3 linked regions of the Anolis sagrei genome follow. The protein of the gene in region 1 binds, or shares a complex with, the protein of each later gene. Links are inferred from orthologs where the notes say so. Each region holds a gene or a part of one and is shown on either strand. Other genes may lie near its edges.

Region 1 (7,895 bases):
CACGTTAAAACAGTGGATGTGGCTCTTAATGAGACATGCCGCATTATCACAGGATGCCTATATCCTACGCCATTGAAAAAATTATTCTGTTTGGTCGGTACTGCACCATCTGATATGTATCGAGAAGTAGCAGCCAGTAAAGAAAGGACCAAGGCATTGACATCTCCAGCCCACCCTCTGTTTGGATATCAGCCAGCATTCCAACGTCTTAAATCAGAAAATACTTTTCTAAGATCTACAGAGATAGTCGCAAGAACATCTTGGCAAACACGAGTCCAAAAGTGGCAGGCTAAAACTTGAAACATCAAACAGTGGCTGACACAGGATCAGAAACTCCCTTCTGGGTACACAGAAGACTAGGCGACTAGGAAGACACTGAACAGACTGCGCTCTGACACCACGAGATGCAGAGCCAATCTTAAGAAATTGGGCCACAAAGTGGAGTCAACGACATGAGAGTGTGGAGAAGAGCAAACCACATATCACTTAACTACAATGCAGGCTGAGCCCTGTCACATGCACAATAGAGGACCTTCTTTCAGTGACACCAGAGGCACAGAAATTTTTGCATTATGCCAAGTTTTTAACTTTGTTTGTGTTTATTTTAAACTACCATCCCTTGCCACGCGTTGCTATGGCCCAGTCTATATATATGTTCTTTGTGTGTGTATATGTGTATATATTTGTTTGCGTATATATATGTCGTTCTGCACATGCGTTGTAATGAATTTTTTTATTTTTTGGCTTTTAAGATTCTTCTGCTTTGTTTTTCAGTGTTTTTATGAGTGATGGTCACTCGTTGGCCTGATAAGGGTATTGTGTCCGAATTTGGTGTCAATTCGTCCAGTGGTTTTTGAGTTATGTTAATCTCACAAACGAACATTACATTTTTATTTATATAGATTCATTATAATACACAGGACTGTATTCAGTGCTGTGCCAGCAGGACTGAAGACCGACAGGTCGCAGGTTCGAATCCGGGGAGAGGCGGATGAGCTCCCTCTATCAGCTCCAGCTCCTCATGCGGGGACATGAGAGAAGCCTCCCACAAGGATGATAAAAACATCAAATCATCCGGGCGTCCCCTGGGCAATGTCCTAGCAGACGGCCAATTCTCTCACACCAGAAGCAACTTGCAGTTTCTCAAGTCGCTCCTGACACAACAAAAATAAATAAATAAATAAAAATCCAGGCATCCCCTGGGCAACATCTTTGCAGATGACCAATTCTCTCACACCAGAAGCGACTTGCAGTTTCTCAAGTTGCTCCTGACAGGACAAAAAAATTATAATTGTTTTCTTAATTCACTTCTGACACGATAAATCAAATGTTAATTGAAGACCTGTAGCAAAATGTCCTGCAGGATGTCCTGCAAAAAAAACATATTTTTTTTTGCAATTTCATAAACTTTTTTCATGTTTTTAATGATAGATCTAGGGAAGTAATGCTACCCCTCTATTCTGCTTTGGTTAGACCACACCTGGAATACTGTGTCCAATTCTGGGCACCACAATTCAAGAGAGACATTCACAAGCTGGAATGTGTCCAGAGGAGGGCGACTAAAATGATCAAGGATCTGGAGAACAAGCCCTATGAGGAGCGGCTTAAGGAGCTGGGCATGTTTAACCTGAAGAAGAGAAGGCTGAGGGGAGATATGATAGCCATGTATAAATATGTGAGAGGAAGCCACAGGGAGGAGGGAGCAAGCTTGTTTCATAGAATCATAGAATCATAGAATCAAAGAGTTGGAAGAGACCTCATGGGCCATCCAGTCCAACCCCCTGCCAAGAAGCAGGAATATTGCATTCAAATCTCCCCTGACAGATGGCCATCCAGCCTCTGTTAAAGAGCTTCCAAAGAAGGAGCCTCCACCACACTCCGGGGCAGAGAGTTCCACTGCTGAACGGCTCTCACAGTCAGGAAGTTCTTCCTCGTGTTCAGATGGAATCTCCTCTCTTGTAGTTTGAAGCCATTGTTCCGTGTCCTAGTCTCCAAGGAAGCAGAAAACAAACTTGCTCCCTCCTCCCTGTGGCTTCCTCTCACATATTTATACATGGCTATCATATCCCCTCTCAGCCTTCTCTTCTTCAGGCTAAACATGCCCAGCTCTTTAAGCCGCTTGTTCTCCAGACCTTTTATCATTTTAGTTGCTCTCCTGTTTTCTGCTTCCCTGGAGACTAGGACAAGGAACAATGGCTTCAAACTACAAGAAAGGAGATTCCATCTGAACATGAGGAAGAACTTCCTGACTGTGAGAGCCGTTCAGCAGTGGAACTCTCTGCCCTGGAGTGTGGTGGAGGCTCCTTCTTTGGAAGCTTTTAAACAGAGGCTGGATGGCCATCTGTCAAGGGTGATTTGAATGCAAAATTCCTGCTTCTTGGCAGAATGGGGTTGGACTGGATGGCCCATGAGGTCTCTTCCAACTCTTTGATTCTATAGAACCAATTAGGAAATGATGGAAATAACCCAGGAACAATAATCGTGTTACATAGTGTGAAGTGGATTCAGAAACTGGATTTGACAGCAGTGTAGACAGCGCCTCTGCCATGGAAGCCCACCAGGCGGGTCACACACTCTCTCAGCCTCAGAGAAGGCAAAGCAAACAACTTCTGGGCAAATCAACAAAACAAAACCAAACAAGAGATGGGGAAAAAACATTCAAAGGCACACAACAGCAGCTTGCTTTGAAAGCCAAACCTTTCCTGGCCCAGACACGTGTCTAAAAGCCATGCCTTCCTCGTGTGTGCTGCTCCCCGACACTCCCTCCTCCAGAAGCCACCTACTTGGAAGGGGACTCCGTGCGCCATGGGCCGGAATGGGGTGGCCCCGGGGCTGGGCCCTCCTCGCAAAAGCACACCGCCTCCGGGCCCCGGGGGAAGAGGGACGCCTGCTGAGGCCGAGAGCGCCATGGAAGGCAGCCTCTCGGGCGGCGAGGCCATGGGGAAGTTCCCGCCGCGCCCGGCCATCGGAGGAGAAGCAAGAGACGAGTCCTTCCTCAATCGGAGGCAACCGCCGTCTGAGGGGAGAGAAGAGGAAGCGGCTTCGATTGACTGACGAGGCGAACGGCTCCCTCAGCCAATCGGAGGCCCCGGCAGCGGCAGGCCCCTCCCCCCAGGACCGCCCTCTCCGTCAACCGCCAAGAGAGCGGGAAAGGAGGCGGGGGGACTGAGAGAGGGAAAGGGAGGGAAGCGAGGCCAATGAGCGCCTGACGAGGCCCAGCGCCAAAGAAGCGCCTCAGAGAGGCACGCGGCCCAGTCACGAGGGCAAACACACACACACACTCTCCCTCTGACTGGAATGTTTATGTCCAATCCATAGTTGTCTCTCATACATATATACATACATTCACACACACATATATCTAGCGTTACAAATACAAAAAACAATGCCCAGTATATATATATATAATAATCTATCGAAACCCAACCTTGCCACCAAAGTAGGAAAGAAACCAATAGCCAGGCAACCAGATATTGAGAACAACAACCTTCAAGAACCTTTTACATCTACTGTGCTGGTACAACTGCACCAGGAGCTCCAATTTTGTTTGTTTTGCATTGAATGTTTGTTGCAGTCCTAAGTTTCAGGGACTCTGCAGATACGTGGCTTCTTTTGGCTGCAATCATAGGGCAAGCCACCTGTCAATTATAGTTAGGTTCCCTGGTCCTGTCCCCCTTTTGGGTTTTTGGAGGGAATAGGAGCCTTTTTGGGTCAGTCCACACAGCGAAGCCTTTCGCACATGACATAAAACCAAGAGCTCCTGTAGAAAGTAGGGCTGGGTGGTTTCGTTTCGTTAATTCGTAATTCGTTAAAAAATCGTTATTTTTTTTATAACGAAGCAATAACGAACCATTCTGGAGCAACTTTAAAACGAAACGAATTTTTAAATTTGTTTCGTAATTGTTTCAGATTCGTTATGTATTCGTTTCGTTATCGTTTTGAAGTCGTTTCGTTATTATTTCCGCATGTCTGGGGCAAGTTTTATAGTTGTTTTTTGTTTAATTAGTTAAAAAAAATTATAATATCACACCAACAGTCAACAACAGAGGGAGAGGGAAGCTTCAGAAGTTCCCCCTGTCCCATTTGGAGGTTTTTTAGCGTATTTCGCGGTCGCGTCCGCCATTAACGAATTGATTCGTTATTGTTTCGAAATCGATTCGTTATTGTTTCGTAATTTTTTTAACATTTACGAAATTTCGTAAATATCGAACTTTTTAAAAGAAAAATTTCGGAATTCTTTTTAAAACCAAAACGCAAAAACCCCCAAAAAACTAATCGATTTTAGAAACAAATTTTTCCGTTGTTACCCAGGCCTAGTAGAAAGCTTTGTCTTCTACGGCTTGGCCGGAGAGATATACAGCCTACAGCTTGGCCAGGGTTATACAGCCCACAGCTTGGCCAAGGATCAGATAGCCTTACAGCTCCTTTGCTGAAGGACTTCAGTCAGCCATCACTGAAACCTGAACTCCTTTTTCCCTGGAAGTCTACAAAGCTCTGCTTGGTAAGGGTCGCTCGTGGAAGCCAGACGCAGTTGGTACCGGGTGCAGGGGCTCCACGCCAACAGAGGCAAAGACAGACTGCCCAGATTAGAAGTTAAGGATTTCCCCATTAGTTAGTTACAGTTAAGAAGATAGTGACTGTTCCCAGTGGACAAGAGTCAATAGACTATTAAGAAAGCCTTGAAGTACCTGTTTGTTTTCAATAATAAAGAACTTTGTTGAACCTTTAAGCAATCTAAAGACTCTGTCTGGGGAAATTCAAGGGTCTTTAATCTGAGGCAGCCCCAGCGTCCCGTTGGGCACACAGAATTTGTGTCCTGTCTACAGTCTTATGCACAGGCCCAGCATGCGACAGCACATCTACTGAATTGGACATGGCTCCCAATAAATGTAAAAATGGCAAAGCAGCTGGCCTGGATGATCTATGGATGGAACAAATCAAGAACTTTGGTCCAAAAGCAAGGCGCTGGCTGCTGGAACAGATGAACAATTGCACTGCATCCTGTCAGATCCCCAAAATCTGGAGGAAAGCAAGAGTCATTGCCATCTTGAAGCCAGGCAAAGGCCGTAATGATCCAAATAGCTATAGATTAATCTCCCTGTTGTGCCACCTCTACAAAGTTCTGGAGAGACTTATTTTGCATAGAATTACGGAAAAAATAGACCAATGTCTGATCCCACAGCAAGCTGGCTTCAAGAAAGGCAAAAGCTGCACATCGCAAGTGCTGAACCTGACTCAGCGCATAGAAGATGGCTTTGAAAGGCAGCAGATCACAGGAGCTGTCTTCATAGACCTGTCAGTGGCTTATGGTATTGTAAACCACCGCCTCCTCCTGAGAAAGATGTATAATATCACAAAGGACTACCATCTCACCCGCCTCATAGGAAACCTGATACAAAACAGGAGCTTCTTTGTTGAGTTCCAGGGCCAGAGAAGCAGATGGCGGAAAGAGAAGAATGGCCTGCCTCAGGGGAGTGTGCTTGCTCCATCCATGTTCAACATTTACACAAAAGACGAGCCACTGCCAGAAGGGACAGAGAGTTTCATCTATGCTGATGATCGTGCCATTACTGCTCAAGCAGGGAGCTTTGAGATGGTTGAACAGAAGCTCTCCGAAGCTCTAGGTAATCTTACTGCCTATTACAGGGAAAACCAGCTGATTCCTAACCCATCTAAAACACAGACATGTGCTTTTCACCTTAAGAACAGACAAGCATCCCGAGCTCTGAGGATTACCTGGGAAGGAATCCCACTGGAGCATTGCAGCACACCCAAATATCTGGGCGTCACTCTGGACCATGCTCTGACCTATAAGAAGCACTGCCTGAATATCAAGCAAAAGTGGGTGCTAAGAACAATATCATATGAAAACTGACTGGCACAACCTGGGGATCACAACCAGACACAGTGAAGACATCTGCCCTTGCGCTATGCTACTCTGCTGCTGAGTATGCATGCCCAGTGTGGAACACATCTCACCACACTAAAACAGTAGATGTGGCTCTTAATGAGACATGCCGCATTATCACAGGGTGTCTGCGCCCTACACCACTGGAGAAATTACACTGCTTAGCCGTTATTGCACCACCTGACATCCGCCGGGAAGTAGCAACCAATAGTGAAATGACCAAGGCAGTGACATCTCCAGCTCATCACCTGTTTGGGTATCAAGAAATAGTTTTCTTAGATCTACAGAGACACTCGCTGGAACACCTCAGCAAGTGAGAGTCCAAAAGTGGCAGGATCAAACTTAGAACCTCAATCAATGACTGATACCAAATGAGAGACTCCTCCCTGGGCACACAGAAAACTGGGCAACTTGGAAAGCACTGAACAAACTGTGCTCTGGCACCACGAGATGCAGAGCCAACCTTAAGAAATGGGGTTACAAAGTGGAATCCACGACATGCGAGTGTGGAGAAGAGCAAACCACAGACCACCTGCTGCAATGCAACCTGAGCCCTGCCACATGCACAATGGAGAACCTTCTTGCAGCAACACCAGAGGCACTCCAAGTGGCCAGCTACTGGTCAAAGGACATTTAATCAACTACTAAGCTTGCAAACTTTGTGTTTTGTTTGTCTGTTTGTTTTTTTGTTTGTTAAAAAATGCAATGCAGCTGTTTGGTCTGCTCCTGACATGATAGATAAATAAATAAATAAATTTATCGATGATTTCGGACAGATGGCAAGCTATTTAACCTCAGTAGAATGAAAGCCAGAACCAAGGTTACAACATTTGTTATAGAACTCCAATATGTTGATGACAACATCATCTGTGCGCATTCAGAAGAAGGTCTACAAGCCACTCTTAACACCTTTGCGGAAGCATATGAGAAGCTTCGCCTGTCAATGAACATCGAGAAAACCAAAGTGCTCTTCCAGCAGTCACCAGCCAATTGCTCTCCAATGCCAGAAATACAGCTTAATGGTGTAACATTAGAAAATGTTGACCATTTCTGCCAGGCATGTAGCCGGGGGGAGGGGGGGGGGCTCGAGGGGCTTAACCCCCCCCCCCCCCCCCCGAAATTCTCATGGTGGTTCGTGAAAAGGCCTTACTGGTGCATTGTTTAAACTGTTATGTTTATTCATATCATGATCTGATCACCATGCTCAATATATCCCATATGCATGGGGGTACTGGGGTAACGATACAAAAGGTTTGCTAGGCTAGACCCTCTTTCACTCAGACTCAGCCCCCCCCCCCCCCGAAACAAACTCAGACCCCCCCCCCCCAATCGAAATCCTGGCTACGGGCCTGATTTCCTCTACCATGGCAGCCACATCTCCACAAAAGTCAACATTGACACTGAAATACAGCACCGCCTGAGCTCTGCGAGTGCAGCTTTTTTCCAAATGAAGCAGAGAGTGTTTGAGGACCGGGACATCCGTAGGGATACCAAGGTGCTTGTTTATAAAGCTATTGTCCTCCCAATCCTGCTATATGCCTGTGAGATGCGGACTGTCTACAGACGTCACATGCAACTCCTGGAATGATTCCATCAGCGTTGCCTCCGGAAAATCCTGCAAATCTCTTGGGAAGACAAGCGGACAAATGTCAGTGTGCTAGAAGAAGCAAAGACCACCAGCACTGAAGCGATGGTCCTCTGCCATCAACTCCGCTGGACCGGCCATGTTGTCCGGATGCTCAACCACCATCTACCAAAGCAATTGCTCTACTCTGAACTCAAGAACAGAACATGGAATGTTGGTGGGCAGGAAAAGAGATTGAAAGATGGGCTCATCTGGCATAGACACTGAGAACTGGGAAGCCCTGGCCCTTGAGTGCTCCAGTTGGAGTTCAGCTGTGATCAGCAGTGCTGCCGAATTTGAAGAGGCACTAATGGAGGGCGAAAGAGAGAAACGTGCCAAGAGGAAGGCACGTCAAGCCAACCC
Region 2 (7,890 bases), on another chromosome or scaffold:
ACAAACAAAATCAGTTATATCTCTTTCTGAAGGACAGACAAGATGGAGAGGGCTGATCTAATCTCACCAGGAAAGGAGTTCATAGAATCATAGAGCTGGAAGAGACCTCATGGGTCATCCAGTCCAACCCCCTGCCAAGAAGCAGGAAAACTGCATTCAAAGCACCCCCGACAGATGGCCATCCAGCCTCTGTTTAAAAGCTTCCAAAGAAGGAGTTTCCACCACACTCCGGGGCAGAGAGTTCCACTGCTGAATGGCTCTCACAGTCAGAAAGTTCTTCCTAATGTTCCATAGCTGGGGGGCAATCACTGAGAAGGTCCTCTCTCTCGTCTCCACCAAACACATCTGTGACGGTAGTGGGACAGAGAGCAGGGCCTCCCCAGAAGATCTTAGTCTTCGTGGTGGTTCGTAAAGGGAGATGCATTGGACAGGTAAACTGGGCCAGGGCTATTTAGGGCTTTATAGCCTAAAGCCAGCACTTTGAATTGTGCCCGGTAGCAAACAGGTGGAGCTGACATAACATTAGAGTTGTGTGCTCCCTGTATGCAGCCCTGGTTATCAACTTGGTTGCCTCTCGTTGGACTATTTGAAGCTTCCAAACAGTCTTCAAAGGCAACTCCACATAGTGTTGCAGTACTCTATCCTAGATGTAATGACAACGTGGACCACAGTGGCCAAGTCTGACTTCCCAAGACATGGGTGCAACTGGTGCGTAAGTTTTAATTGTACAAAAGCTGCCCTAGCCACCGCCACAACCTGAGGTTCCAGGCTCAGCAATGAGTTCAGGAGGATTCCCAAGCTGCGAACCTGCACCTTCAAAGGGGGTGTAACCAGGAGGACCTCTGTCTTGTCTGGATTCAACTTCAATTTGTTTGCCCTCATCCAGACTCTCACAGTGGCCAGACTTAAGCAGCTGAAGGGGGAAAGGAAAGGGCCTGAGGCTGATAGGAATTGAGGGAGTTGAAGTCCAAAACACCCAGAGAGAGGGCCCAAGTTTCCCCATGCCTGAGCTAACCTATGTTTGGGGATGAGGCCAGGATCTTGAGTAGCTCCTACTAAAAACCAGTGCAGATTTCTCATTTAGCTTGCCCCCTACTCCTTTCAAACACTTAGATGTGGCCTGTCTTAACCTTCTCCTCTCCAGGTTAAACATATCTGGCTCTCTGAGCCACTTTCTCACAGCGCTTGGCTTTGGTTGCCCTTCTCTGGACAGGTTCCAGCTTGTCAATATCCTTCTTGAACAGTGGTGCCCAGAACTGGACTGATGGGTTGACTTGGTATGCATGGAAGTTGTCCTTTGCCACTGTGGCAGGTGCCTACTCTTGACGCAGCCTTCCTGAATTCCACTTTATGCTTAAGTCAAATTGGTTGAGCAGTGTAACCTGTCCAAGTTGACTCAGACCTAAGTCCTATTGTGTCCCTTGGGGCTTATCCTGCCCTACCTTCACTGCAGTTAATGGTATGTGTCCTGATCATGTGCATCTACACGCTTAAGCGGCTGAGGGGGGAAAGGAAGGGGCCTGAGGCTGTTAGGAATGGTGGGAGTTGAAGTCCAAAACACTTGGAGGGAGGGCCAAAGCCTGCCCCTGCCTGGTGTCGAGGGAGAGTGACTCCAGCCTTCTTGTAAGCACATTAAAGCAATCCTTTTGTTTCTCCCTCTGGGTAATTCCTTTGCAGACTCCTGTAATTAGCGACAGGTAAACTCAGACGTCTTGGAGTGGGCTGCCTTTGCCAGGAGCTTTGCCAGAGCGGTGTCTGCGCTCCTTTGGCGGTGCAATTCCCCCTCTTAATGAGAAAGTTGGCAAAGCTCCTCCTCCTCCCTCCCTCCCCCCTCCCTGATGCCAGAGGTCAGGTCTCGACACGCCAAAGCAGACGATCCTGGGGGAGGAGGAAAAGACATCGTCTTTCATTTTTCCAAAAGTTCCTTGGGAGTGAAGCAAGCAGGCGGTCGGTTGGGCCACTTCGCGTTATGTAACGACGCGGAGAGGCATTCCTGGCCGGAGGGGGAGAGGAAGGGGAAGGGAAGGGAAGGGAAGGGAAGGAAAGGGTGCCCGTCCTGCGCCGGAGTCAATACGACCGTTGCAACGCTGCCAAGAAACCTGAAGCGGAAAGTGGTCGGAAGGGAAAAGCTGCGGGAAACGGAGGAGGAGGGAAAGGCGGAACTTTCTTGACTTTCTTTGCAGTGCCAGAAATGCACCCACATGGCTGGGAGGCGGTCTCTGCAAGAGCATGGTTTAGGCTGGATCTGCACTGCCATAGTTTGAACTGCAGTAAATACTGGAACCCTTGTGCCAGCAGGACTGAAGACCCACAGGTCGGAGGTTCGAATCCAGGGAGAGTGCGGATGAGCTCCCTCTGTCAGCTCTAGCTCTCCATGCGAGGACATGAGAGAAGCCTCCCACAAGGATGATAAACCATCAAAATATCTGGGCGCCCCCTGGGCAACGTCCTTGCCCACGGCCAATTCTCTCACACCAGAAGCGACTTGCAGTTTCTCAAGTCGCTCCTGACACACTCTCACTCACTCCGAGTAGGATAGTCTTCCAGGATCAGTGTACTGGCGGTGGGTCCTTAGGTGACTGTGGAGCCCTGTTCTTGACCTGCGTCTTCTCCTCAAGTGAGGGCATTGATTTCCAGGTGGAAAAAGGTCTTAGTCAGGATTGGCTTGATTGGCACGTTTCTCTCTTTCGCCTTCCATTCGTGCCTCTTCAAATTCTACAGCACTGCTGGTCACAGCTGACCTCCAACTGGAGCACTCAAGGGCCAGGACTTCCCAGTTCTCAGTGTATATGCCAAAGGCTTTGAGCCCATCTTTAAATCTCTTTTCCTGCCCACCAACATTCCATTTTACGTTCTTGAGTTCAGAGTAGAGCAACTGCTTTGGGAGACGGTGGTCGGGCATCCGGACAATGTGGCCGGTCCAGCGGAGTTGATGGCGGAGGACCATAGCTTCAGTGCTGGTGGTCTTTGCTTCTCCCAGCATGCTGGCATTTGTCTTCGCAAGAGATTTGCAGGATTTTCCGGAGGCAGCGCTGATGGAATCGTTCCAGGAGTTGCGTGTGACATCTGTAGACAGTCCACGTTTCACAGGCATATAGCAGGTTTGGAAGGACAATAGCTTTACAAACAGGCACCTTGTTTACAAACAGGCACCTTGTTATCCCTGCAGATGTCCCGACACACACACAACGGCAGTAAATGGTTGCATACTGACTATATAACACAGTTCAAACTGCATTATATGACAGAGGAGCAGGAGGAAGTGGTCCCAAACTCCTCCAGAGTTCTGAAGGCCCCCTTCCTCCACTGACATGTATTGTGGCCCATCTACAGAGATATTCTTGGAAGACCTCAGCAAGCGAGAGTCCAAAAGTGGCAGGCTAAAACCCAGCACCTCAATCCATGGCTGATACCAAATGAGAGATTCCTTCCTGGGCACACAGAAGACTGGGCAACTTGGAAGGCATTGAACACACTGTTGGGGATTGTGGGAGTTGAAGTCCAAAACTGCATTCATCCTTTGTGCACACGTGCATGTGTGTGTGAGGAACGACTTGAGAAACTGCAAGGCACTTCTAGTGTGAGAGAATTGGCCGTCTGCAAGGACGTTGCCCAGGTGTGTTACCATTCTGTGGGAGGCTTCCCTAGTTCCAGCATGGGAGGCTCTTGCACCAGGAGATGCAAAGCCAATCTTAAGAAATGGGCCCACAAAGTGGAGTCTAAGACATGGTAGTGTGGAGAAGAGCAAACCACAGACCACCTATTACAATGCAACCTGAGCCCTGCCACATGCACAATGGAGGACCTTCTTGCAGCAACACCAGAGGCACTCCAAGTGGCCAGCTACTGGTTAAAGGACATTTAATAGAAGGCCAAGTTTTTAAACTTTGTGTTTTCTCAAATACATCAGAACTATACCCTTGGTTCGCTCTCTGATACGATAGATCAATAAATAAATGGGAAGCTGGAGCTGACAGATGGGAGCTCACCTTGGTCTCCCGGAATCAAAGCTGCTGATCTTTTGGGCAGCAGTCCAGACGGCACATGAGTTTAATAGAATGCCAAGTTTTAAAACTTTGTTTTCTCAAATACATCACAACTGTACCCTTGGTTCGCTCCTGATACAATAAATAAATAAATAAATAAATGGTAAGCTGGAGCTGACAGACGGGAGCTCATCTTGCTCCCTGGATTCAAAACTGCTGATCTTTTGGTCAGCAGCCGTGCAGGCACATGAGTTTAATAGAACGCCAAGTTTTTTAAACTTTGTGTTTTCTCAAATACATTACAACTGTACCCTTGGTTCACTGCTGATACGATAAATAAATAAATGGGAAGCTGGAGCTGACAGATGGGAGCTCACCTTGGTCTCCCAGAATTAAAACTGCCGATCTTTTGGTCAGCAGTCTATATGGCATGTGAGTTTAATAGAATGCCAAGTTTTTAAACTTTGTGTTTTCTCAAATACATCCCAACTGTACCTTTGGTCCGCTGACACAATAAATAAATAAATGGGAAGCTGGAGCTGACAGACGGGAGCTCAGCCTGCTCCCCGGATTCAAAACTGCCGATCTTTTGGTCAGCAGTCCAGACGGCACATGACTTTATTAGAATGCCAAGTTTTTAAACTTTGTGTTTTCCCAAATATCCTTGGTTCGCTCCTGATACGATAAATAAGTAAGTCCAGAGCGTGGCTCTGTGTCTCTCTCCCCTTTTCCCCGTGCCGCTGGCCCTTTAAGACCTGCTCTCCGAACACTTGCACAGAAAGGGAGTGACCTCTGGGCTTTGACAGCTCCCCTAATAACCAGCCCGAGCCCTGGCCCCGCCCACCGCGCTCCGATTGGTCGCCGGGCCGGTATCCTCTCTCCCCATTGGGCGCCCGGTTCCCCTGAGCGAACCTTTTAGAACTCCGAGGCACAATATTCTGTTACATTGTAGCAAAATGGCGACTGTCATTCACAACCCCCTGAAAGCGTAAGTAGGAATCAAAAATGTACATATTTCCGCGTGGTTTCGATATGAAAAAAGGGCGCCTTTCCCTATGCAGGCGGCCAAGGCAGGAGCGGGCTGCCGGCAAGGCTCCCTCGCTCCCGGGGTTGGTGTGGCTTGCCTTATTTGTGTGTCACACGCACAAAAGTCTCCCTCCGCGGGGGAATTTCATGGGAAGGAACCAATTGTCACCGGGGCGTCCTGCCTGATTGATTGATGGGCGGCTGGCCGGGGACGGAGAGAGTTTTGGGGGCTCTTTAAAGGCGAAGCCACGGCTTCCGTGGCAGCTCCGGGTGGTCGGAGTCGGGGAAGGAAGGAAGGAAAAGGGAAGGGAAAGGAAGGGAAAGAAGGATCGATGCCGGGCAGGATTGGGCTGGATCTAGATCTCCCTTTCTATCCAGGGCGGCTTGTGCAGCAGTTGGGGAGTTCTTTCTTTTGTATGCCTGTCTTCGTGCATTTGTGTGCCTTCTGTGCGCGACATTTCCAAGCCCGGGGAGGAAGGAAAGAGAGTCGGGGGCTTGCCTCCCTTTCCCAGCCTTTCCTGCGCCTGTTTGCCCGGAGGGACTGCGCCGCGGACCTTTTCCTTGGCAGGTCAAGCCTTGGGAGCTCTGCGTAGATATATAGATCTAGATACACGGATGTATTGATACGAAACCCTGAGGCAAAGAGACGGCCGGACTTCCTGCGCTTGGATGGGAAGTAGCCTCCCGAGAATATATAGAAATATTCGGGAGAGAAAGAGAGAGAGACCTGGGGAGGTGAAAATATATTTCTCTCCAACTCTCTGTATATATATCAAGCATGGTCGAACTTGGGATCTCCAGGTGTTTTGGACTCGAACTCCCATCATCCCTCCCAGCCACAGGTCCCTTCCTTTTCTCCCTCAGCCGCTTAAGCGAACTTGGACCCTCCAGGTGTTTTGGACTCCAACTCCCACAATCCCCAACAGACACAGGCCCCTTCCTTTTCTCCCTCAGGAAAAGGAAGGGACCTGAGGTTGTTGGGGATTGTGGGAGTTGGAGTCCAAAACAGGAAGGGGTCTGAGGCTGTTGGGGATTGTGGGAGTTGCAGTCCAAAACATCTCAGACCCTCTTCTTTTCTCAGGAAGGGGCCTGAGGTTGTTGGGGATTGTGGAGTTGGAGTCCAAAACAGGAAGGAGTTTGAGTTTGTTGGGATTGTGGGAGTTGGAATCCTAAACAGGAAGGGGTTTGAGTTTGTTGGGGATTGTGGGAGTTGGAGTCCAGTGCTGCTTCTCCTCTATTATCGCTGGCCTCTGACAGGAAGGGGTTTGAGGCTGTTGGAGATTGTGGGAGTTGGAGTCCAAAACACCTGGAGGGCCCAAGTTCGCCCATGCCTGTTCTGTATGCATGTATCAGCTCTCTCTATTTTTTCGTGTCAGGAGTGACTTGAGAAATTGAATTGGGCGTCTGCAAGGATATTGCCCAGGGGATGTTTTACCATCCTTGTGGGAGGCTTCTCTCATGTCCCCGGCATGGGGAGCTGGAGCTGACAGAGGGAGCTCATCCTCTCTCTCTCCCCGAATTCGAACCTTCGACCTGTCGGTTTAAGCCATGCCTACCTATCGAGAGATAGTTGGAGCGTGAAAGAGGGAATCCTCGGAGAGCTGGAAGACTCTCCTCGCTTCCCATTCCGGAAGCCCGTTGGCGCTCCTCTTTGGCTCCGGGTCCACGGTTCCTTCCCCTCCATCTGCCTCTTCTCCTCCCTTCCCTCCCTCGCTCCAATCTTTCCCAAAGTAGAAAGGCTTGGGGGAGGTGTGCGTGTGCGTGTGTAGATCTCGGCGTGAGGGACTCGAGGCTCCGGCGTTGTGCTGTGTGTGTGTGTGTGTTTGTTGTGTATGTGTCTCTTTCTCTCCCCGGGGGCGGGCAGGAGGCGTCCCGACAGGTGCAGCCGGCTCCGGGAAGCAGTCGGAAGGAAGGCGCTGTGAAGATTGAGGGAGGGAGGCTTTCCTGGCCGGGTTGGGGAGGAGGGGGGTAGTTCTTTCGGGCTGGAAGACACTCACACGTTTGCTCGCACAGACACGCAACCAGCCGGCTAATCCCCGAAGGCATTAAGAAGGGAAGGGAAGGGGGGGGGGAGGGGTTTGGCCGCAGGTCTGGAGGCGCCCACTCGGCTTCCGCCCTCCCCCCTCCCGCCCCTTGACCTTTAGAGCCTCACGTTTGGCGCCGGAGGAAAGGAAAAGGCTGGCTTTCCGAGGGGGAGGGGGCACTTCCCCGCTCCTTTTAAAAGCCAAGGGACTGTCTGCAGCCACTTCCTTCCCCTTTGAGCTGCGCTTCCCGCCCTTGGCCAGCAACTCGGGGCTGACTTTGGGGCCCTCCAGACGGCAGAGGGTCTTGGCAAGCGGCTCCTGGTGTGAGAGAATTGGTCGTCTGCAAGGACGTTCCCCAGGGAACGCCTGGATGTTTGACTATCCAGTGGGAGGCTTCTCTTATGTGTTCAGATGAGAAGCTGGAGCTGACAGAGGGAGCTCACCCTGCTCCCGGATTCGAACCGCAGCAGTCCTGTCAGCAAGAGCCAGCGTTTTTCATAGACGCCCCCTAGGTCACGTGTCCAACATGATTGAATGGAGTGTCATTACCTTCCCGCCGAAGCGGTACCTATTGAGCTACTGTCATTTGCATGCTTTAGAACTGCTAGATTGGCAGAAGCTGGGGCTAACAGTAGGAGCTCACTCTCTGGATTCAAACAGCAAGTTCAGCAGCTCAGTGGTTTAACCTGCTGCGCCACCAGGGGCCTATACATAAATAAAAATAAATAATTGGGGGAAGGGGAGGTTCCGGGGGGTCCACCCCAAGGCTCTTTTCAGTGGGAGGGGAGCCCACGCGAGGTGGAGAAAGCCAACTTCCAGGCGGATGGCGAGGGGAACGCCTAAGCACCCCCCTT
Region 3 (7,130 bases), on another chromosome or scaffold:
TTTAAATCAGGAAGTAGTTTTGTAAGATCATATTTGCAGGAACATCTCAGCAAGCAAGAGTCCAAAAGTGTCAGCCAAAAACCCGGAACCTCAAGCCATGGCTGATACCAAATGAGAGACTCCCCCCTGGGCACACAGAAAACTGGGCGACTTGGACTACCTGCGTGACCACATTTCTGTGTATGAACCCACACGATCTCTTCATTCATCTGGAGAGGCCTTCCTTGCGCTCCCACATCTATCGCAGGCGCGACGTGGGGACAAGGGAGAGGGCTTTCTCAGTGGTGGCCCCTCGACTCTGGAATTCACTTCCCAAGGACATCAGGCATGCCCCAACTCTGGCAGTCTTTAGGAGGAGCCTGAAAACGTGGTTGTTCCAGTGTGCCTTCCCAGAATAATGAATTCTCAGCATTGTGCCCTCCAAATGCACTTTACATTGATTTAGGATTGTTGTACGCTCCCACTAACGCCCCATCTCTCCTACCTTATTCATGCCTAGCATTATTTTTAACTTTAATTACATTTGGCCCAGCCATACATTGTAATTGTGTGTTGTATTATTGTCATTGTATATTGCTTTTTTGTTATGAGTTTTATTTAATCTGTTTTACTGTTGTTGTTATTGCTTATATTGATGTATTGTGGGCTCGGCCTCATGTAAGCCGCATCAAGTCCCTTGGGGAGATGGTAGCGGGGTATAAATAAAGTTTAATAATAATAATAATAATAATAATAATAATAATAAAAGGCGCTGAACAGACTGCGCTCTGGCACCACGAGATGCAGAGCCAATCTTAAGAAATGGGGCCACAATGTGGACTCCACAACATGAGGGTGTGGAGAAGAACAAACCACAGACCACCTACCACAATGCAGCTTGAGCCCTGTCATATGCACAATGGAGGACCTTCTTATAGCAACACCACAGGCACTCCCAAGTGGCCAGCTACTGGTCAAAGAACATTTAGTATAATGCTAAGTTTTTAACTTTGTGGCTTTAAATACATTACGACTGTACCCTCAGTTCGCTTCTGATACAATATAAATAATATAAATAAAGATTATTATTAATATTATTTGATACATAACAAGATTAGTACACAGAAAACAAGATCACTGTGCTATCTTTTGTATTTTATCACATGTTGGACACTTCCCAAGTGTCTAGGACTATGTGATGTATTGGCGACTAATATGTGCAGATCCAAGAAGGGGTGGCCTTTTGTAGTTGACAGATGGTAATTTTGTCAGTGCCGTTTGTTTTTAAGTGCAGGCCAAGGTCTTTGTTGTTGTTGTTGTTGTTGTTATTTTATTACCACACAGCAAACAAGATCACTATGCTGGCTTTTGTATTGGATCACACTTTGGACACTTTCCAAGCGTCTAGGACTATGTGATGTATCGGTTAGTAATCCGTGCTTATCCAAGTAGGGTGGCTTTTTGCAGCTGACAGATGATAATTTTGTCAGCGCCTATTGTTTTTAAGTGCAGGCCAAGATCTTTAGGCACTGCACCCCAGTGTGCCAATCACCACTGGGACCACCTTTACTGGCTTGTGCCAGAGTCTTTGCAGTTTGATCTTTATATCCTCACATTATTATTATTATTATTCTTTTACTGACACAAAAACACAGTATGACACAGCAAACGAAATATATATGCTGGATTTCGTATCACAAAATCACAAGTCAAACACTTCCCAAGCGCCTAGGACTGTGTGATGTATTTTTGAATGATGCGCGCAGATTCAAGTAAGGTGGCTGATTGCATTTTATGGTTTGTCCATTTGGCATCTCTATGCCCTCATTGTGAGTAATTTTCCCTTTCTTTAATGCCATTGTGGCACATTTGTCTAGGCCAAACTCCATACTGATGTCAGTGTTGAAGATTCTGACTGTGTTGGTCAATGACTTGATTTCAGTTTTTGATTTTCCGTAAAGCTTTAGATCAGTGGTTCTCAACCTGTGGGTCCCCAGGTGTTTTGGCCTACAACTCTCAGAAATCCCAGGCAATTTACCAGCTGTTAGGATTTCTGAAGGCCAAAACATCTGGGGACCCACAGGTTGAAAACCACTGATTTAGATCATCCATGTACAGCAAGTGAGAGATTTTTGGTGAATTTCTTGCTGTTTGGTAGCCTATGTTTGTTTTCTGTAGAATTACTGACAGTGGGATAATTGCAATGATGAACAGCAGTGGTGACAGTGAGTAACCTTGGAAAATTCCTCTCTTGATGTTAATAGTTCCATAGCTTTCGCTGCCCACAAACAACTCCATTTTCCATTGTTTCATTGCATTTTCAGTGAACTTTCTAATATTTTCACAAACCCCGATGACATCTAGAAATTTGATAATCCAACAATGTGTCAGTGAGTCAAATGCTTTTTTGTAATCAATCCAAGTTGTATAGTAATTATTATTATTATTATTATTATTACTTTACTTAGGCGATCCCTCATATCTGAGGATGATGGTCCTCCAAGTTCGGTGTCCTGGTGGTGGGTTCGTAGGTGACTGGAGCCCTATTCTTGATCTGCATCTTCTTCCACAGTGACGGCATTGGTTTCCAGGTTGAAGGTGGTCTCGGATGGGCCTTCCTCTTGGCACATTTTCTCACCCTCCATTCGTGCCTCTTCAAATTCTGCAGCACTGCAGGTCACAGCTGACCTCCAGCTGAAGCGCTCAAGGGCCAGGGCTTCCCAGTTCTCAGTGTCTATGCCAGAGTTTTTGAGGTTGGCTTTGAGCCCATCTTTTATTTATTTATTTATTTATTTACAGTTCTTATATTCCGCCCTTCTCACCCCGCAGGGGACTCAGGGCGGATTACAGTCAACACATATATGGCAAACATTCAATGCCAGTTTGACAAACAACATTTAACACACAAATACACCAAGGCTATTTAACTTTTTTCTGGCCGCCAGGGGAGCTGCTGCTTTTCATCGTCCATCAACAACACCGATGAAGTTCTTCCGCATTCCACATTCCCCGGAGTCTTCTTTCTTTATGGCCTCATAAATTAGTTAAATTTAGCCTCCCACACAAGGTGGTCCCTTATTTTCCTACTTGACAGATGCAACTGTCTTTCGGGTTGCAAAGGTCGACAATGGGCTACACAATGGCTGGACACCCACTCCAGCCCGGGCTGGCTTCGAACTCATGACCTTTTGGTCAGAGTGATCTTAATGCAGCTGACACTCAGCCAGCTGCGCCACAATCCCGGTGCTTTAAATCTCTTTTCCTGTCCACCAACGTTCCGTTTCCCGTTCTTGAGTTCGGAGTAGAGCAACAGCTTTGGGAGATGGTGGTCGGGCATTCGGACAACATGGCTGGTCCAGTGGAGTTGATGGCGGAGGACCATTGCTTCAATGCTGTTGGTCTTTGCTTCTTCCAGCACGCTGACATTTGTCCGCCTGTCTTCTCAAGAGATTTGCAGGATTTTCCGGAGGCAGTGCTGATCGTTCCAGGAGTTGCATGTGACGTCTGTAGACAGTCCACGTTTCACAGGCATATAGCAGAGTTGGGAGGACAATAGCTTTATAGACAAGCACCTTGGTATCCCTACGGATGTCCCGGTCCTCAAACACTCTCTGCTTAATTCGGAAAAATGCTGCACTCGCAGAGCTCAGGCAGTGTTGTATTTCGGTGTCAGTGTTGATTTTGGTAGAGAGGTGGCTGCCAAGGTAGCGGAAATGATCTAATGTTACACCATTAAGCTGTATCGCTGGCATTGGAGAGGGGTTGGCTGGTGTCTGCTGGAACAGGACTTTGGTTTTCTTGATGTTCAATGACAGGTCGAGCTTCTTGTATGCTTCTGCGGAGGTGTTCAGAGTGGCTTGTAGATCTTCTGAATGCGCACAGACAACGTTGTCATCAGCATACTGGGGGGGGGGGTCACCAAATACAACTCCCTATATTCCACAGCATTGAGCTATGATAATGCTGACGCCTTTCCACCGCTAGAAGGCGCTCAGGCTAGTTCAGGCGAGCCTGCGCCTCGGGGCCAGCAGGGGTCGCTGTGCTCGAGGGCCGCGCCTGGGCGAAGGAAGGAGGGAGGGAGGGAGAGAAGGCCTGGGCGCGCGCTGGCGCGGTGGGCGCGCGGTGGGGCCTGTGCCGGCAGAGGGCGCTGCGGGGCTGCTGCTCCTTCGGCCGAAGAGGCGTCCAGAGACGAAGGCGGCGCGGCCCAGGCCGGCGGCGGCGCTGCTGCTGCGAAAATGGCGGTGCGGAAGAAGGACGGCGGCCCCAACGTCAAGTACTACGAGGCCTCCGACACTGTCAGCCAGTTCGACAGCGCGCGGGTCTGGCTGGGCAAGAACTACAAGAAGGTAGGCCCGGGCCTGGGCCTGCCGGACTGCCATCGGAGAGGCCTTTCGGGGCTTCTCCGCCCCGGATCACGGCCGGCCTGCTAGCAGAATGGGAAGAGAGAGGGACTGGAGATCTTAAGGAAAGGGGGAAGAGGAAGGGAGGGAGGTGATGGGCATCGGAGGGGCACCGGGCCCCCTCCCCACCCTGCCTTCCATGGGGACGGAGGGAGAGAGGGAGGGAAGGAGGGGATCCTTAAAACTGCACGTCTTACATCAAAGTCTCTCCCTTGGCCCCACGAGCAGCACCTCCATTTATTATTCCTACTCCCTTTCCATCAGGAATCAGCCCTCTTTGGATCACCAGCACCTCCTAGAAAACAGATCCCCCCTTTTTTCTTGAGAAATGGCCATAATCTCAATTGCAGGGTGGCAGGCACGTTTCTTTGACATCTTCGCGCCTGGTGCCCTATTGTCCTTTGCCCCAAGATCAAGCCCTTCTTATTCTCCCATTCATTAGTTCCCACCCTTCTCTACAGATCCCTTCAGGACCTGACACGGAAACTTTCATTCATTGAGGCGTTTACTTGACCTTGCATTTTTTGTTTTTGATTTTAGTGCAGGGTGGGTCAAAAGTCACAAAGAGGTCCTGCATCCTGTACGTGATGCAGGGGTATTGGATTGCCATTTATGAGATTGGATTTTTCACACGTCATGTACATTTATTTATGAGATTCCATTTATGAGATTGAATTTTTCTTGTGTAATGTATATATAAATTAAATATATGCACACAGCGGGTTAAACTGCTGAACTTGCTGACCGAAAGGTCGGTGGTTTGAATCCAGAGAGTGGAGTAAGCTCCTGCTGTTAGCCCCAGCTTCTGCCAACCTAGCATTTCAAAAGCATGCAAATGTGAGTAGATCTGTAGATACCCCTTCAGTGGGAAGGTAATGGCGCTTCATGCAGTCATGCTGGCCACATGGCATTGAAGGTGTCTATGGACAACACTGACTCTTCAGCTTACAAATAGAGATAAGCACCACCCCATAGAGTTGGACACGACTAGACTTAATGCCAAGGGGAAATGTTTACCTTTACCTATCATCATATATGTTATTGTATATTAAAAACAAAACATAAAGGAGCAATAAAGTATTGAAACCCTTTCATGACTTTTGGCCCACCCAGTACCTTCAAATTGCTTTTCGTTCTCCTGGAGCAGCCTCAGTCCCTTTCCTTCCTGCTGGAGATGTGCTCTTTGGCAAGCAGAAAACTTAGCAGTTTTGCAATTTTGAAATGGGATGTGCTGGTTTATTCCCTTATGAGAGATGTTTCAATAACCTCTTTTGGGCATCCAACCTTGCTTTCATTTATTTGTTCTAATGTCAACAGAAATCAGAAATGCATTGTGTATTACAGTTTACAAATGGGGTTGTATTGGAAATGTGTCTGCTGTTTTCTGCCAACAAGTGTCATTGGATGTTGAATCAATGTATTTCTCAATCTCCCTTGTGTCGGCAAGTCTGCTGACCAAAAGGTCAGCAGTTCAAGTCTGGGGAGCAGGATGAGCTCCATCTGTCAGCCCCAGCTTCCCATGCAGGGACATGAGAGAAGCCTCCTACAGGATGGTAAAACATCCGGGCATCTCCGGGCAACATCCTTGCAGATGGCCAATTCTCTCACACCAGAAGCGACTTGCAGTTTCTCAAGTCACTCCTGACACGAAAAAAAAATCTCTGTAATTTGTTAAGAGGAGCCAAAGGCCCAGAAGCTGATGTGAAAGCTGTTTTTAATTCCCCCTATAGACATGCACTTCTCCATAGAGGAGATGGGGACTTGGGTGGCTAGGTTCTGTGTTATGGGGCCCACACAGCCTTTTCAGTTGCTGTCACACGAAGAAGCATGGTCCAGCAAGTTTCCTCTCTTAAATGCTTTGCACTTTGACAGCTGCTTCCGTTCCACATGCTGCTGCCCAGGACTTGATTCCCAGGCTCTTACCTTTGACCTTTCAAGTGAGAGAGAGAGAGAGAGAGAGAGCGCATGCCTCAGTCCCCAGACAATTCATTGTGTTTGGAATGACAGCTTCTGACCCCATGCTCACCACTTCCCTGCTAGCAAGTTTGAATCTCTTGTCAACTGCCCTAGTTATTTGCACCAAAACTCAAGGCTGAATCTGCACTACTACATAATACAGTTTGAAATGCATTGCGTGGTTAGTGTAGACCCATACAGTGCAGTTTGAACTGCATTGATCTGCATTATATGGGTCTGTATTGACCATATCATGCAGTTAAAACTGTATTATGTAGTAGTGTAGATCTAGCTCAAGATGGAGTCCCTTTGTAGACCCTGTGCTATTACAGCGAGCAACTTTTCCTGTTTTGATGGTGTTTCCAGACAAATTAAAAAGGAAGTTTAAATGAGGGCTATTTAGGGTAGTGGGTTTCTTTCCATGGTTGCTCCTCCCCATGCTTGAGTTAAGGAGCCCTGTTCTGGCAAGACTGCTGACTGAAAGGTCAGCGGTTTGAATCTGAGGAGCGGGGCGAGCTCCCATCTGTCAGCACCAGCTTCCCATGGGAGTCATGAGAGAAGCCTCCCACAGGATGGTAAAACATATGCACTTATCATAGGCAACATCCTTGCAGACGGCCAGTTCTCTCACACCCGAAGCGACTTGCAGTTTCTCAAGTAGCTCCTGATACTAATAAAAAACTCTTCCATTATTGTTATGGACACAAGTGGGACCCATTTACTAGTTATGCATGAAAAAAATAAACCTCTCTAAGAAAGATGATGGTCTATGTTGATTATAATGCTATACAGTAT

Evidence for each region. The genes of interacting proteins can lie anywhere in the genome.
Region 2: SMARCD2 (region 1) and DPF3 share a complex: the UniProt entries of both Homo sapiens proteins name them as parts of the BAF complex. The link is inferred for Anolis sagrei from reciprocal best matches to the Homo sapiens genes SMARCD2 and DPF3.
Region 3: SMARCD2 (region 1) and SMARCC2 share a complex: the UniProt entries of both Homo sapiens proteins name them as parts of the BAF complex. The link is inferred for Anolis sagrei from reciprocal best matches to the Homo sapiens genes SMARCD2 and SMARCC2.

What each region holds. Positions count from the first base shown.
Region 1 is NC_090026.1:37,945,192-37,953,086, forward strand, and holds the start of SMARCD2 (SWI/SNF-related matrix-associated actin-dependent regulator of chromatin subfamily D member 2), read right to left. Parts: upstream 3,013-7,895; 5' UTR 2,967-3,012; coding exon 2,784-2,966; intron 1-2,783. UniProt on the Homo sapiens protein: Involved in transcriptional activation and repression of select genes by chromatin remodeling (alteration of DNA-nucleosome topology).
Region 2 is NC_090021.1:285,843,734-285,851,623, reverse strand, and holds the start of DPF3 (zinc finger protein DPF3), read left to right. Parts: upstream 1-4,886; 5' UTR 4,887-4,942; coding exon 4,943-4,974; intron 4,975-7,890. UniProt on the Homo sapiens protein: Belongs to the neuron-specific chromatin remodeling complex (nBAF complex).
Region 3 is NC_090022.1:138,276,651-138,283,780, reverse strand, and holds the start of SMARCC2 (SWI/SNF complex subunit SMARCC2), read left to right. Parts: upstream 1-4,126; 5' UTR 4,127-4,214; coding exon 4,215-4,325; intron 4,326-7,130. UniProt on the Homo sapiens protein: Involved in transcriptional activation and repression of select genes by chromatin remodeling (alteration of DNA-nucleosome topology).